Linked DNA regions of Arabidopsis thaliana. The protein of the gene in region 2 interacts with the protein of the main gene of each other region in a biochemical or structural test. Each region holds a gene or a part of one and is shown on either strand. Other genes may lie near its edges.

The links.
Region 1: the proteins of AtPOT1a (region 2) and PRL form a complex in vitro, tested with the Arabidopsis thaliana proteins (one study listed by BioGRID).
Region 3: the proteins of AtPOT1a (region 2) and TERT form a complex in vitro, tested with the Arabidopsis thaliana proteins (one study listed by BioGRID).

What each region holds. Positions count from the first base shown.
Region 1 is NC_003075.7:898,868-902,622, reverse strand, and holds the start of PRL (Minichromosome maintenance (MCM2/3/5) family protein), read right to left. Parts: upstream 1,988-3,755; 5' UTR 1,940-1,987; intron 1,869-1,939; 5' UTR 1,822-1,868; exon of another isoform or gene 1,551-1,821; intron 1,448-1,550; exon of another isoform or gene 1,376-1,447; intron 1,249-1,375; exon of another isoform or gene 1,204-1,248; 5' UTR 1,140-1,203; coding exon 1,109-1,139; intron 1,018-1,108; coding exon 950-1,017; intron 847-949; coding exon 787-846; intron 699-786; coding exon 475-698; intron 388-474; coding exon 210-387; intron 123-209; coding exon 1-122. Other genes in the region: STP7 (sugar transporter protein 7), read left to right, coding at 2,528-2,672, 2,754-3,073, 3,160-3,755. UniProt on the Arabidopsis thaliana protein: Probable component of the MCM2-7 complex (MCM complex) that may function as a DNA helicase and which is essential to undergo a single round of replication initiation and elongation per cell cycle in eukaryotic cells.
Region 2 is NC_003071.7:1,888,616-1,892,370, reverse strand, and holds the start of AtPOT1a (Nucleic acid-binding, OB-fold-like protein), read right to left. Parts: upstream 1,688-3,755; 5' UTR 1,127-1,687; intron 901-1,126; 5' UTR 821-900; intron 658-820; 5' UTR 558-657; coding exon 431-557; intron 297-430; coding exon 160-296; intron 88-159; coding exon 1-87. UniProt on the Arabidopsis thaliana protein: Component of the telomerase ribonucleoprotein (RNP) complex that is essential for the positive regulation of telomere length. Binds RNA non-specifically. Binds specifically single-stranded telomeric DNA.
Region 3 is NC_003076.8:5,541,907-5,545,661, forward strand, and holds the start of TERT (telomerase reverse transcriptase), read right to left. Parts: upstream 1,654-3,755; 5' UTR 1,539-1,653; coding exon 1,239-1,538; intron 1,084-1,238; coding exon 1,009-1,083; intron 928-1,008; coding exon 862-927; intron 781-861; coding exon 669-780; intron 490-668; coding exon 143-489; intron 1-142. Other genes in the region: AT5G16860 (Tetratricopeptide repeat (TPR)-like superfamily protein), read left to right, coding at 1,928-3,755. UniProt on the Arabidopsis thaliana protein: Telomerase is a ribonucleoprotein enzyme essential for the replication of chromosome termini in most eukaryotes. It elongates telomeres.

The DNA.
Region 1 (3,755 bases), on a different chromosome or scaffold from region 2:
TCCTGAAACTTTAGAAACTTTGATGCTCTGAGCTGAAGAATAGGATTCCCGGCTTTACTATTAAGACGACAGCGACTAGAAGGACACTTAAACAAAGGCATGAAGACTCTAGATGTAACTTCCTGATTTGACATGTAAAAGAAAATAATCAGAGTTAGTAGTTAACAAAATAAAAAAGAAACTACAATCTGGCAAAAGCATAGTTGTACCTGGTAAATCTCATGACCACAATCTTCACATGTGTAAACAGCAACCGCCATCAATGGCTTGACATCGGAACAACGGGTCACAATACCAGATATCCTAACAAGTTGCCCAATGTGTGAAGCCTTAACCTCCCTGATGGTAGATGGCCTTCCCTTTGAAGGAGCTTTAAAATAAACCTCACTGAATAAAAGTAAATTCATTAGCAAACTATTGTAAAACTCATTCCCTAAAGCTTATGTCCAGCAAATAGACTCAGACAAAACTTACTAATATCTTTTAATCTCAGAAGGAATCTGCTGATGAGGATCAGAAACATCTGGATTATCAGTCCCATCATCTGCTCTCTGAGTCATGAGAATATCATGATCATCATCTGGAAACGCTTCCGTTGGTTCGGGTAACAACTCGTCAACAGCGGCGGAGAAAATTGAAACATATCGGCGAGTGTTTTCCGTCAACCGTCCGAGAAACTCCTCACTTTCATCTTTATACTACACAATATCAAAAGAGATGAGTGGCTTCTACAATAGCAACATCCAAAACAGAAACAACATTAGAGAGAAACAAAAAAAAACTCACATTGAATAAGTCATCGAGATCGACTTGAATAGCTCGAATCTTACGATTTGAAACCTCTTGCTACACAAATTCATAAAATAGAACATAAAACCCTAAAATTAGGGAGATTCGCGAAAACCCTAGAAGAGAGAAATTGGTGGAAGATATTGGAAATGAGACTTACGAGAATCTCCATGTACTTAGATCTGCCATTAGCGTCGGCGAAATTCTCGAGAAATCCCTTGGCAAGCCCTATATACAAGAAGAAAAAAAGTGAGAATCAAAACTCAGCGAAAAAAGAGGGAAAAGATTATCGAGAACGGAGAAGAAGAGAGAATGTAACCTTTGTCGCCGTCGAAATCGTGGTCTTTCATGGTTTCAAAACTTGGGTCGAGAGAGAGAGTGGAAGAGGAAGAAGAGAAAGGAATGAACCAGTGACTGCAAAATTGGGCGGTAAAAGGGTTGTAGATGACGATGAGTTTAGGCGGGAAAAGTATTATAGAGAGAAATGGCGGGGAGTAAAATGAACGGTCCAGATCTAATGATCACGTGATTAATGTAATGTCGAAACTACCCCTGCTGGAAATAAAAAAGAAGAGGTAACAAAAAGTGTGGCTGCCGGGATTCGAGCCCGGGTCCCCACGGCCACAACGTGGGATACTAACCGCTATACTACAACCACTTTTGTGTTATTTCTTTCCCTTAGTATTTAATTAACCAAAGATTTAATAATATTATCATCTGTTTCCAAAAAATGGGTGACAAATGTGGATACAATAATGTCATCTTCATCATCCTCCTTACGTTGAAAACTAGTGTGATTTCTTCTTACACTTGTCTTAAATCCATAGCTACTATCGAAATTTGTGTGTGTGAATTTAAAGCTTTTGATTTTTTTTTTTGTTGTTGTATATTTAGTCTCTCTGTATTCGACTTTGATCAAAACTTGGTCAACATCATCTTTAACATCGCCTTCATAGTAGGCGATCAAAAAATCCATGGAATAAATAGCACACACAAGTCTGAATCATTTCCCAGTCTACAACAAATCGTTACATCTTCCTTCTTCTTTCTCCTGTAAGTCCTCTTCTTTTTTTTTTAATCTGTTTTCTTTCAACCTATGACGAAAATCATCACACTTGTCTTGATTCTTCACTTTCTGTCTGAAACCAACTTTTTTTTTTTTTTTTACTAGGAAGGATTTTGATTTCTTTTTTTTCCGAGGTGTTACTTGTTAGAACGGGATAAGATCGTAATCTTTTTTTTTATTATGAAGATGACATTTGACCAAAAAAGTATAAAACCTCTTTTTGTATTTGTTTTCTTATATAGCATTAGTATATTCTGACAATATTCCAACGAGCATTGATGATTTTTGTGGAAATAGAGATCAAAGTAGGAGGAAGACATGCAAAATCAGTATTAAATTTTTAATTTGTTATGTGAAGATAAGGTCAAGAAAATGACGTATTTACTTGTTGGAACTTAATTCCAAACAATTATGTACCAAACACGAATCCATACGCAATTATCACAAATCTCAAAGTGGCAAAACTTCACATTTAAAATTTTCCCAAAACCTAACCAAATTGAAATCTATCTAACCACGTGAAGATGTAAATGTGTATAACCCTTTTTGTTTCGTTGTCTCTCAGATTCTGGAATTTGAGTAAAAGCAAGAAAAAAAGTCAACCGTTGCAACAAACTCTTAAAAAGAAGCAAAGTAGTAGCAGAAGAAGAAGAAGAAGAAGAAGAAAAGAAAATGGCAGGAGGGTCGTTTGGTCCGACCGGTGTGGCTAAGGAGAGAGCAGAACAATACCAAGGGAAAGTCACTAGTTATGTTATAATCGCTTGCCTTGTTGCAGCTATTGGTGGATCCATCTTTGGATATGACATTGGAATCTCAGGTTCTTTTCTTCATCTTTTGAATCCAATTTCTTAATAATCTTATCAAACAATGGCTGAAATGGTTTTTTGTTTGTATGCAGGAGGAGTTACATCGATGGATGAGTTTCTTGAGGAGTTTTTCCACACGGTTTATGAGAAGAAGAAGCAAGCTCATGAAAGTAATTACTGCAAATATGATAATCAAGGCTTAGCTGCTTTCACTTCTTCACTCTACTTAGCTGGTTTGGTTTCGACTCTCGTGGCTTCACCCATCACTAGGAACTACGGTAGGCGTGCGAGTATTGTTTGTGGTGGAATCAGCTTTCTTATTGGATCTGGTTTGAATGCTGGAGCTGTGAACTTAGCTATGCTTCTTGCCGGACGGATCATGCTTGGTGTTGGTATTGGATTTGGAAATCAGGTTAGACAATTGTTTAGTTGGTGTCACCAATAATAAACCAATCTCATCTCTAATGAAAGTTACCTTGCTTTGGTTTTTGCTTTCAGGCGGTTCCTTTGTATTTATCAGAAGTGGCACCAACTCATCTACGAGGTGGTTTAAACATGATGTTTCAGCTAGCTACAACTATCGGGATCTTTACAGCGAACATGGTTAATTACGGTACTCAACAGCTTAAGCCTTGGGGATGGAGACTCTCTCTTGGTTTAGCTGCTTTTCCAGCTCTGCTTATGACGCTTGGCGGGTATTTCTTACCCGAGACACCAAACAGTTTGGTCGAAAGAGGATTAACAGAGAGAGGTCGACGAGTCTTAGTGAAGCTAAGAGGAACAGAAAACGTCAACGCCGAGCTTCAAGACATGGTAGATGCGAGTGAGCTTGCGAATTCCATCAAACATCCATTCAGAAACATCTTGCAGAAACGACACAGGCCTCAGCTAGTTATGGCTATTTGCATGCCAATGTTTCAGATACTCACAGGGATAAACTCCATTCTCTTCTACGCACCTGTTCTGTTCCAGACAATGGGGTTTGGAGGAAACGCATCTCTCTATTCATCAGCTTTAACAGGAGCTGTTCTTGTCCTATCAACATTTATTTCCATAGGATTAGTAGACAGATTGGGACGAAGAGCTCTTCTCAT
Region 2 (3,755 bases):
AAAATCCACACCTTCGAACAAGGCAAAGGAAGAAACCCATCTACTACAAGCAGCATTTACTCTTTCTCCACTATCAAAAGTTTGCATCTACACAATAAAAATCCAAACTTTATAACCTCCTGCACAAAACACAGAAGGAAAATGAAGAGGTCTTTGTACCTTAATGCGAGTAAACAGAATCATGTCGTCGTGGTTCTTGATTTGAGGAAGTTGTTCAAGAGTCTTACTAAATACATTAACAGTAAGTCCAGGACTTGGATACGTATCATCAATTATCCGTAGCGTACAAATCCAATCTAAGAAAAAAATCCAACTTTCAGATTTTGTTGGGTCAAATGTTAGGGCTTTCACAAAACAAACCAACTAAGATTCAGATTCAAGCAAAATTCTATGTATTTAACTCAAATTTTGGTTTTTTTTGGATAAGTACCATTGTTGCGACATTGTTTTGGTTCTCTTTGTTCAAGGACGATACCAATGAGACTGACTTGTTGGTTGATGAGTTTAATGGCGTCTTTGATTTTGATGAGCTTGGGACTCTCTCTCTTCTTCGCCATCTCCCGCTTTGCTACAACGTTTTTAAGTATTATCCTGACGTCACAAAATTAGAGAGTGGTAATATGTGGAATGAGTATCAACAGAACACTAAGCACCAACCTGCAGCCCATAGCCAATAAGTGGAGTGAGTATACATTGGAGGCAATAAGTGGAATGAGTATACATTGGAGCCAATAAGTGGAATGAGTATACATTGGAGGCAATAGAATAGCCATCAACGGAATGACAATGCAAGGATATCAAAAGAACACTAAGCACTAACCTGCAGCCCACTGGAAGTATTCAATGCAGAATCAGACTGAAGGCAAAAAAACTTTATCTTTCTCTCACTTGAATCATCCCCTGGATATAGCAAATTTCATCACAATGGTGAGAAGTAACCAAAGCTAACAAATGTTCCAGAATATGATCCTTCCCTTACATCAACCATCTCTCACAAGAAAATTCTTCAATCCACAATTTTTACTACTTTTATCTACCAAATCCTCAAATCCATTACAATGAACATAATCCCATGAATACAAATGATATATTTTGTTGTGATTAGATTTTAAAGGAATAAACTAACCTCAAGGTCGTATCTGTGCACATTGTTTCCGGCGACGACGATTGCCACCGGAATGAGACCTTATCAATGATCAATTCCGTTAGGTATCGAAATTAGAACCCCTTCATCAACGAACAACACTAGATCTCTCCAGTGAAACGGCCGACGCTTCTCGATCCTCTAACGACGCTCTCAATTCCACATTCTTCTCGCCGTTCTCCGTGAAGTTGCTTCTGTGAAGATTCACTAAAGTCCCAATCAATGTAATCGGAGAAATCTCCGACCAAATCGCTATCGCCAAAGAGACTGTTTTTTTTTTCTTGTTTCTTTTTTTTGCCAAAAAGTTATGTTATATATATCAACCCAGTGCATCATCCAATAATGGTGAACCTTGGAGAGGCCAGTACAAACAGGATACAGAGATAGAATTTTTACATATCAAAGACGTCTAAGTAAAGATAACAACATTTACGTTACAGTTAAGGTACAATATTGAACTACCACGAGCATCTCCAAGAGATACTCTATCCCTCAAATATAAAGTTTTAGGTTCTCTAAAAGATAATCCAATATAATTTAGAGCATATCCAAAAGATATTTTATATATAGAGTATGTAAACTTCAAATATAAAGTATGAGTAGTTTCTTCTCCAAGAGTATACTTTAAATATGAAGTTTCTAAAATATGTGTTTTGCATTATAGTCTTTATATTGTTCATAATTATTTTAAAACTATATAACTTTAATAATAACACTAAAACATACATTAAAATATTACACATAATCTTAATTAACAAAACAATACATTTATAAATAAAATACATATAAATAAAAATTAAAAATACATAAATTAACTTATAAATTACAAATTACTCAATAAAATTATTTTCGTAATGCTCTCATATGTGATCAATCAATGCATTACGAAGAGATAGATAAGTCTCTTTATTTTTAATCTGTAGATTACGAGTCAAAGTGTTGAAATATTTTGAATATATAAAAATTAAAGGACTAAAATGATAAGGGAATGTGACACGTTTAGACACTTTTAAAGAATTTTATTCCTTTTGAGGCACTTTTCAGGGATTAGGCACTTTGCCATCTTTTTGAGGAGAAATTGGACTAATTTACCCCTGAAGTAATGATGACACAATAATTATTAAACTTATTTTTGATGAGATCGTGTGGGTAAGAAACTATCCCCCTTTTATCATCTCTCTCTTCCATATTCTTTTGTTTTTCATCATTTTCAATCTCTCTTTCAAAATCATTGTCGTTCTCTATAATTTTTACAAAATCATGAAAATTATGAGGTTATCCTAAATTCACAATCAAAATCTATGTTTACCCTAATTTTTTTTTTTTTTTTTTACTTTTGTATATTTTTCTCCATTCGCTGGAAAACTTATGGCCACCACCATCGTTTCTTATCGAAGGATTATTAACATTAGAAATCCAATTCGCCGAAGATTAAGACAGAAAATATTGGTCTCAACTCAGATCACTAAGGATGTTTGAATTGGGGAAGAAGAAAAACTGAATCATTGTTTGGGAGAGGTAAGAGCATCTTTAACCAAATTTTATCCTCTCTCGTATTGGATTTTTACTTGGCTTTATCTGTTTCTTAAGATTGAATGTTAAATTGATAAATAGTAAGATAGGATTCAATCCCAAGTTAGGATCGATTTGACAAATTACTTGAAGAATTTTAAATTAAGTAGTTGACTCAATCCCAAGTTAGGATCCAGTGATATGAATGTTGTGAATTGACATTGAAATTTGATTTGTTAAAATGCATCTAGTTTTCCAGTTAAAATTCTAATACCCTTCTCTGGGAACACCTTGAATTCCTTGTTTAATTTTTGCTCTATTTCCAGCCTATAGATACGTAGTTGGTCTTCAAAAACTTTGGCTAACAATAACTTTGTGTTAATCTCTTTCTATCTCAAAAATGCTAGGGAAGATGTGATATTTGGTTTTATTGGAGCTATCGTTTCCCAACAGATACATCTTCCGGATCTAGAAATGATGTGTTTAGATCACACACCTATCCACACCTCTATATCCATATGACTTTTTACATTAGCTGCAATCACCAATTTGTTTTGACAATTTGTTCACATGTATATGGATACTCTTATCATTGCATAGCACTTGGCCACTCTCTTGAATTTGATGACGTTAAACTGATCATATGATTGTTGGCTTTTTAGATTTTAGATTTTGCTTGTTTATGGAATGTTTGTATCTTAGTTCTAACAATGTGGATGACGATAATGGAATGTTTATATGGATGGCACATTATGGATGACGCATCGTGGATTGTGCAGATTGTTATGATGAGAGTTGTGAATCTTTTGGTCTTACATGTTAAGAATTGGAAAAGCTATATGTGGTGCTTTTGGTACGATTGTTGTCCACAAAGTTTCATCCATCTGATTCTTAAAGAACATTTAGTCATTCTAAATCATTTAGATATTCTTTTTAAAGATATAATTGTTCACTGACGAGTGTCCAAACAATCAAGTCCAAATGGTCACCTAGTAACTCACAGTTTGTTTTATATCAATGCACAAATTTATACATGAACAATAATCGTTGATAAAAAATTTGTTGAACTTTTGGGTTCTTCCTCTATTTAACTTTTAGA
Region 3 (3,755 bases), on a different chromosome or scaffold from region 2:
TCCCATCAATTTCTCAAGGCTGAGGATAAATCAAGAGCAATTTATACACGTCTCTTAGTAATTTTAAGCAATAACTTTATGTTTAAACTTGTGCATTTTCAACTTAAACTTGATTGATCAATATCATTGTTACGAACATTACCTGCTTTACAAAATCAGTGAGACTTCCATTTATACCAATGTGCAGATTCATTTCGTCATTACCAGTTGAGACTTTACCATTTGTACTGGGAGTTATACAAGGAGCATTACAGTCAACTTTTTTGAAATTGACCTTTCTCTGCTTTCGCCGACGCTTAAGATATATTCTTGAACGCTTAGTAGTTTTTTTCTCTCTATGTTGGTCTACATCCTCGCCAACTATGGGCGTAATAGTTGCAGAGTCATCCTTAGGACAGTCATCGACAGCTGAAGAAAGCCACTGCCTTTTCGTTGGTGGCTGAACGTTGTCATCCCTCTTTCTTTTGTTTTCATGGACTGACAATGTCCCTATACCATGGAGAAGGAAAACTTTACTAAGTTAATATGAACTAAAAACCAGAAGTTGATAATCGATAACCAAGCAGTCACAGACAAATCATAAGTATTCAGAGAACCAACAAGAAAGTGGAAGTTTCAAAAGAAAGCCAACAGAAGAGCTCGGATACAAGTTTAATTCTGAGACTCACGCTTATGCTTGATACATAGAGGAGGTCCAGACACTTGCTGGTGTTTTTTCCCTAGTAATGGTAAGAATATTGATGTTTGCTGTAGAAGATAAACCATGACGTCATGACCGACCTATAAACAAGGGAACTTGAATATTAGTGACCGCAAACTCGAATATTGAAAGTAAATCATCAAAAGGGTTTGAGAACAAACCCGCTTGAGAAGAAACTCCCAAGATGAACTTGTCAATAGCTCCAAAATAGGGCTCGACTGATCATACTGTCAAAGGAGACGAGAAATCATTAGGCTAAGAAAATCAGCACTCTACATTGAGTTTGAGAAGGAAGAAGAAGAATTCACCTTATCATATCTGGCACATATCACATTTTGGCAATCACATCCAGATTGCATCATTTCAATAATCCTTTCAACAATCTGATAAACTCAATTGAAGCAAAATGTTTAGAAATCAGCAACATCATACAAAATAAGATAACATAGAGGCATTTTATAAGGAGTAGCCACGTCTTGAAATATCTCAAATTAAGCACTCAAAGCAATGTATAGTACAGTGGGAAGAAGAATCTTACCTCTCTCTGTGACCACCAAGATGTTGGAGAGAAATCCAGAAGCGGAGGGGTTTGTTCGTGAAGTACAACGAAGCAACGGTGAAGAAGTTTACGGTAGTGAATGGGATCATCGGAACGCAGCAGAAACGCCGGTTTATCGCTGCTGCAACCGAGACAACCTTGACCCCGGCATCGGCATTGCTCCGGCTGGATATTCCGGTTAGGAATCAGATCTACTATTGCGTCGTTTAAATTCCTGGCTCTGTTTCCGAATAACCTCCATAGAATCTCCGGTACACGATGTCTAGGTTTACGCGGCATTACACCTTCCTCCTCCTTTCTCTCGAATTTGGAGAGAGAGAAGAGTGAACGAGCTTCGATAATGGAGTCTGATGGTGTGAAAGAGGCGGGAGATTAAAGGTCTTCTGGGTTCTCGAAACTATAAACTGCGATTTTGAAAATTTCAAAACAATTCAAAGCTGAGCTACAAACGCTATCCAAAGCGTCCACTCAACCGCAAACGCAGGTCGCTTAGCACATAAACCGAACCGAAATTCGCTTTAAATTTTAATCGGTCTATTATACTTTCTTCTTCTTTTCACATCCGGTTTCATTACTTTCTTCAAATTTCCAATCTAAAACCGGGATATAACCGAATTGATTTGTTTAGTTTAAACGCAGAAATCACCCGCCACTCTAGTTACAGTAGTATGATCCGCCGCCTTCTCATCCCCAACGCCGCCGCAAAATCTCACCAGTACATTAAAGTCTCTCTCTTCTCGACATCGGCGCCGGAGATAACACCGCCGTTTATTCACAAATGCAAAACCATCTCTCAGGTCAAGCTTATTCACCAGAAACTCCTCTCTTTCGGAATCCTAACCTTGAATCTCACTTCCCACCTCATTTCCACCTATATCTCCGTCGGTTGCTTATCTCATGCCGTATCTCTCCTCCGTCGTTTTCCTCCATCTGACGCTGGTGTCTACCATTGGAATTCACTCATTCGCAGCTACGGCGACAATGGCTGCGCCAATAAATGTCTCTATTTGTTCGGCCTTATGCATTCTCTGTCATGGACGCCGGATAATTACACATTCCCCTTCGTCTTCAAGGCTTGCGGCGAGATATCCTCCGTTCGTTGTGGAGAATCTGCTCACGCGCTTTCTCTGGTAACTGGATTTATCTCCAATGTCTTTGTTGGGAATGCGCTTGTTGCTATGTATTCCCGTTGTCGTTCATTGAGTGATGCACGGAAGGTGTTCGACGAAATGTCTGTTTGGGATGTTGTATCGTGGAACTCTATAATAGAAAGTTATGCAAAGTTAGGCAAACCTAAGGTGGCGCTTGAAATGTTTAGCAGGATGACCAATGAATTCGGATGTAGACCTGATAATATTACCCTTGTGAATGTTCTTCCTCCTTGTGCTTCCCTAGGAACTCATTCACTAGGGAAGCAATTGCATTGTTTTGCAGTCACAAGTGAGATGATACAGAATATGTTTGTAGGGAATTGCTTGGTGGATATGTATGCAAAGTGTGGGATGATGGATGAGGCAAACACGGTGTTTTCGAACATGTCAGTGAAGGACGTAGTATCTTGGAATGCTATGGTTGCTGGGTATTCACAGATTGGAAGGTTTGAAGATGCTGTTAGGTTATTTGAGAAGATGCAGGAAGAGAAAATAAAAATGGATGTTGTTACTTGGAGTGCTGCTATTTCAGGGTATGCTCAACGGGGACTTGGATATGAAGCTTTGGGTGTGTGTAGGCAGATGTTGTCTTCTGGGATAAAACCAAATGAAGTCACGCTTATTTCGGTTCTTTCGGGTTGTGCTTCTGTTGGAGCATTGATGCATGGTAAAGAGATTCATTGTTATGCCATCAAATATCCCATAGACTTGCGTAAGAACGGTCATGGTGATGAGAATATGGTAATCAATCAACTGATTGACATGTACGCTAAGTGCAAAAAGGTTGATACTGCACGTGCTATGTTTGATTCACTTTCCCCCAAGGAAAGGGATGTTGTGACTTGGACTGTGATGATAGGTGGATACTCCCAGCACGGGGATGCAAATAAAGCTCTCGAACTTTTATCTGAGATGTTTGAGGAAGATTGCCAAACAAGACCAAATGCTTTTACCATATCATGTGCCCTCGTGGCATGTGCCAGTTTGGCTGCACTAAGAATTGGCAAGCAGATTCATGCTTATGCGTTGCGCAACCAGCAGAATGCAGTACCGCTGTTCGTATCAAACTGTCTAATAGACATGTATGCAAAATGTGGAAGCATCAGTGATGCCCGCCTTGTATTTGACAATATGATGGCGAAAAATGAAGTTACTTGGACATCTCTAATGACGGGTTATGGTATGCATGGTTATGGAGAAGAAGCTCTTGGAATCTTTGATGAAATGAGGAGAATAGGTTTTAAGCTTGATGGTGTTACATTACTTGTTGTATTATATGCTTGTAGTCATTCAGGAATGATTGATCAGGGCATGGAGTATTTCAATAGAATGAAAACTGTTTTTG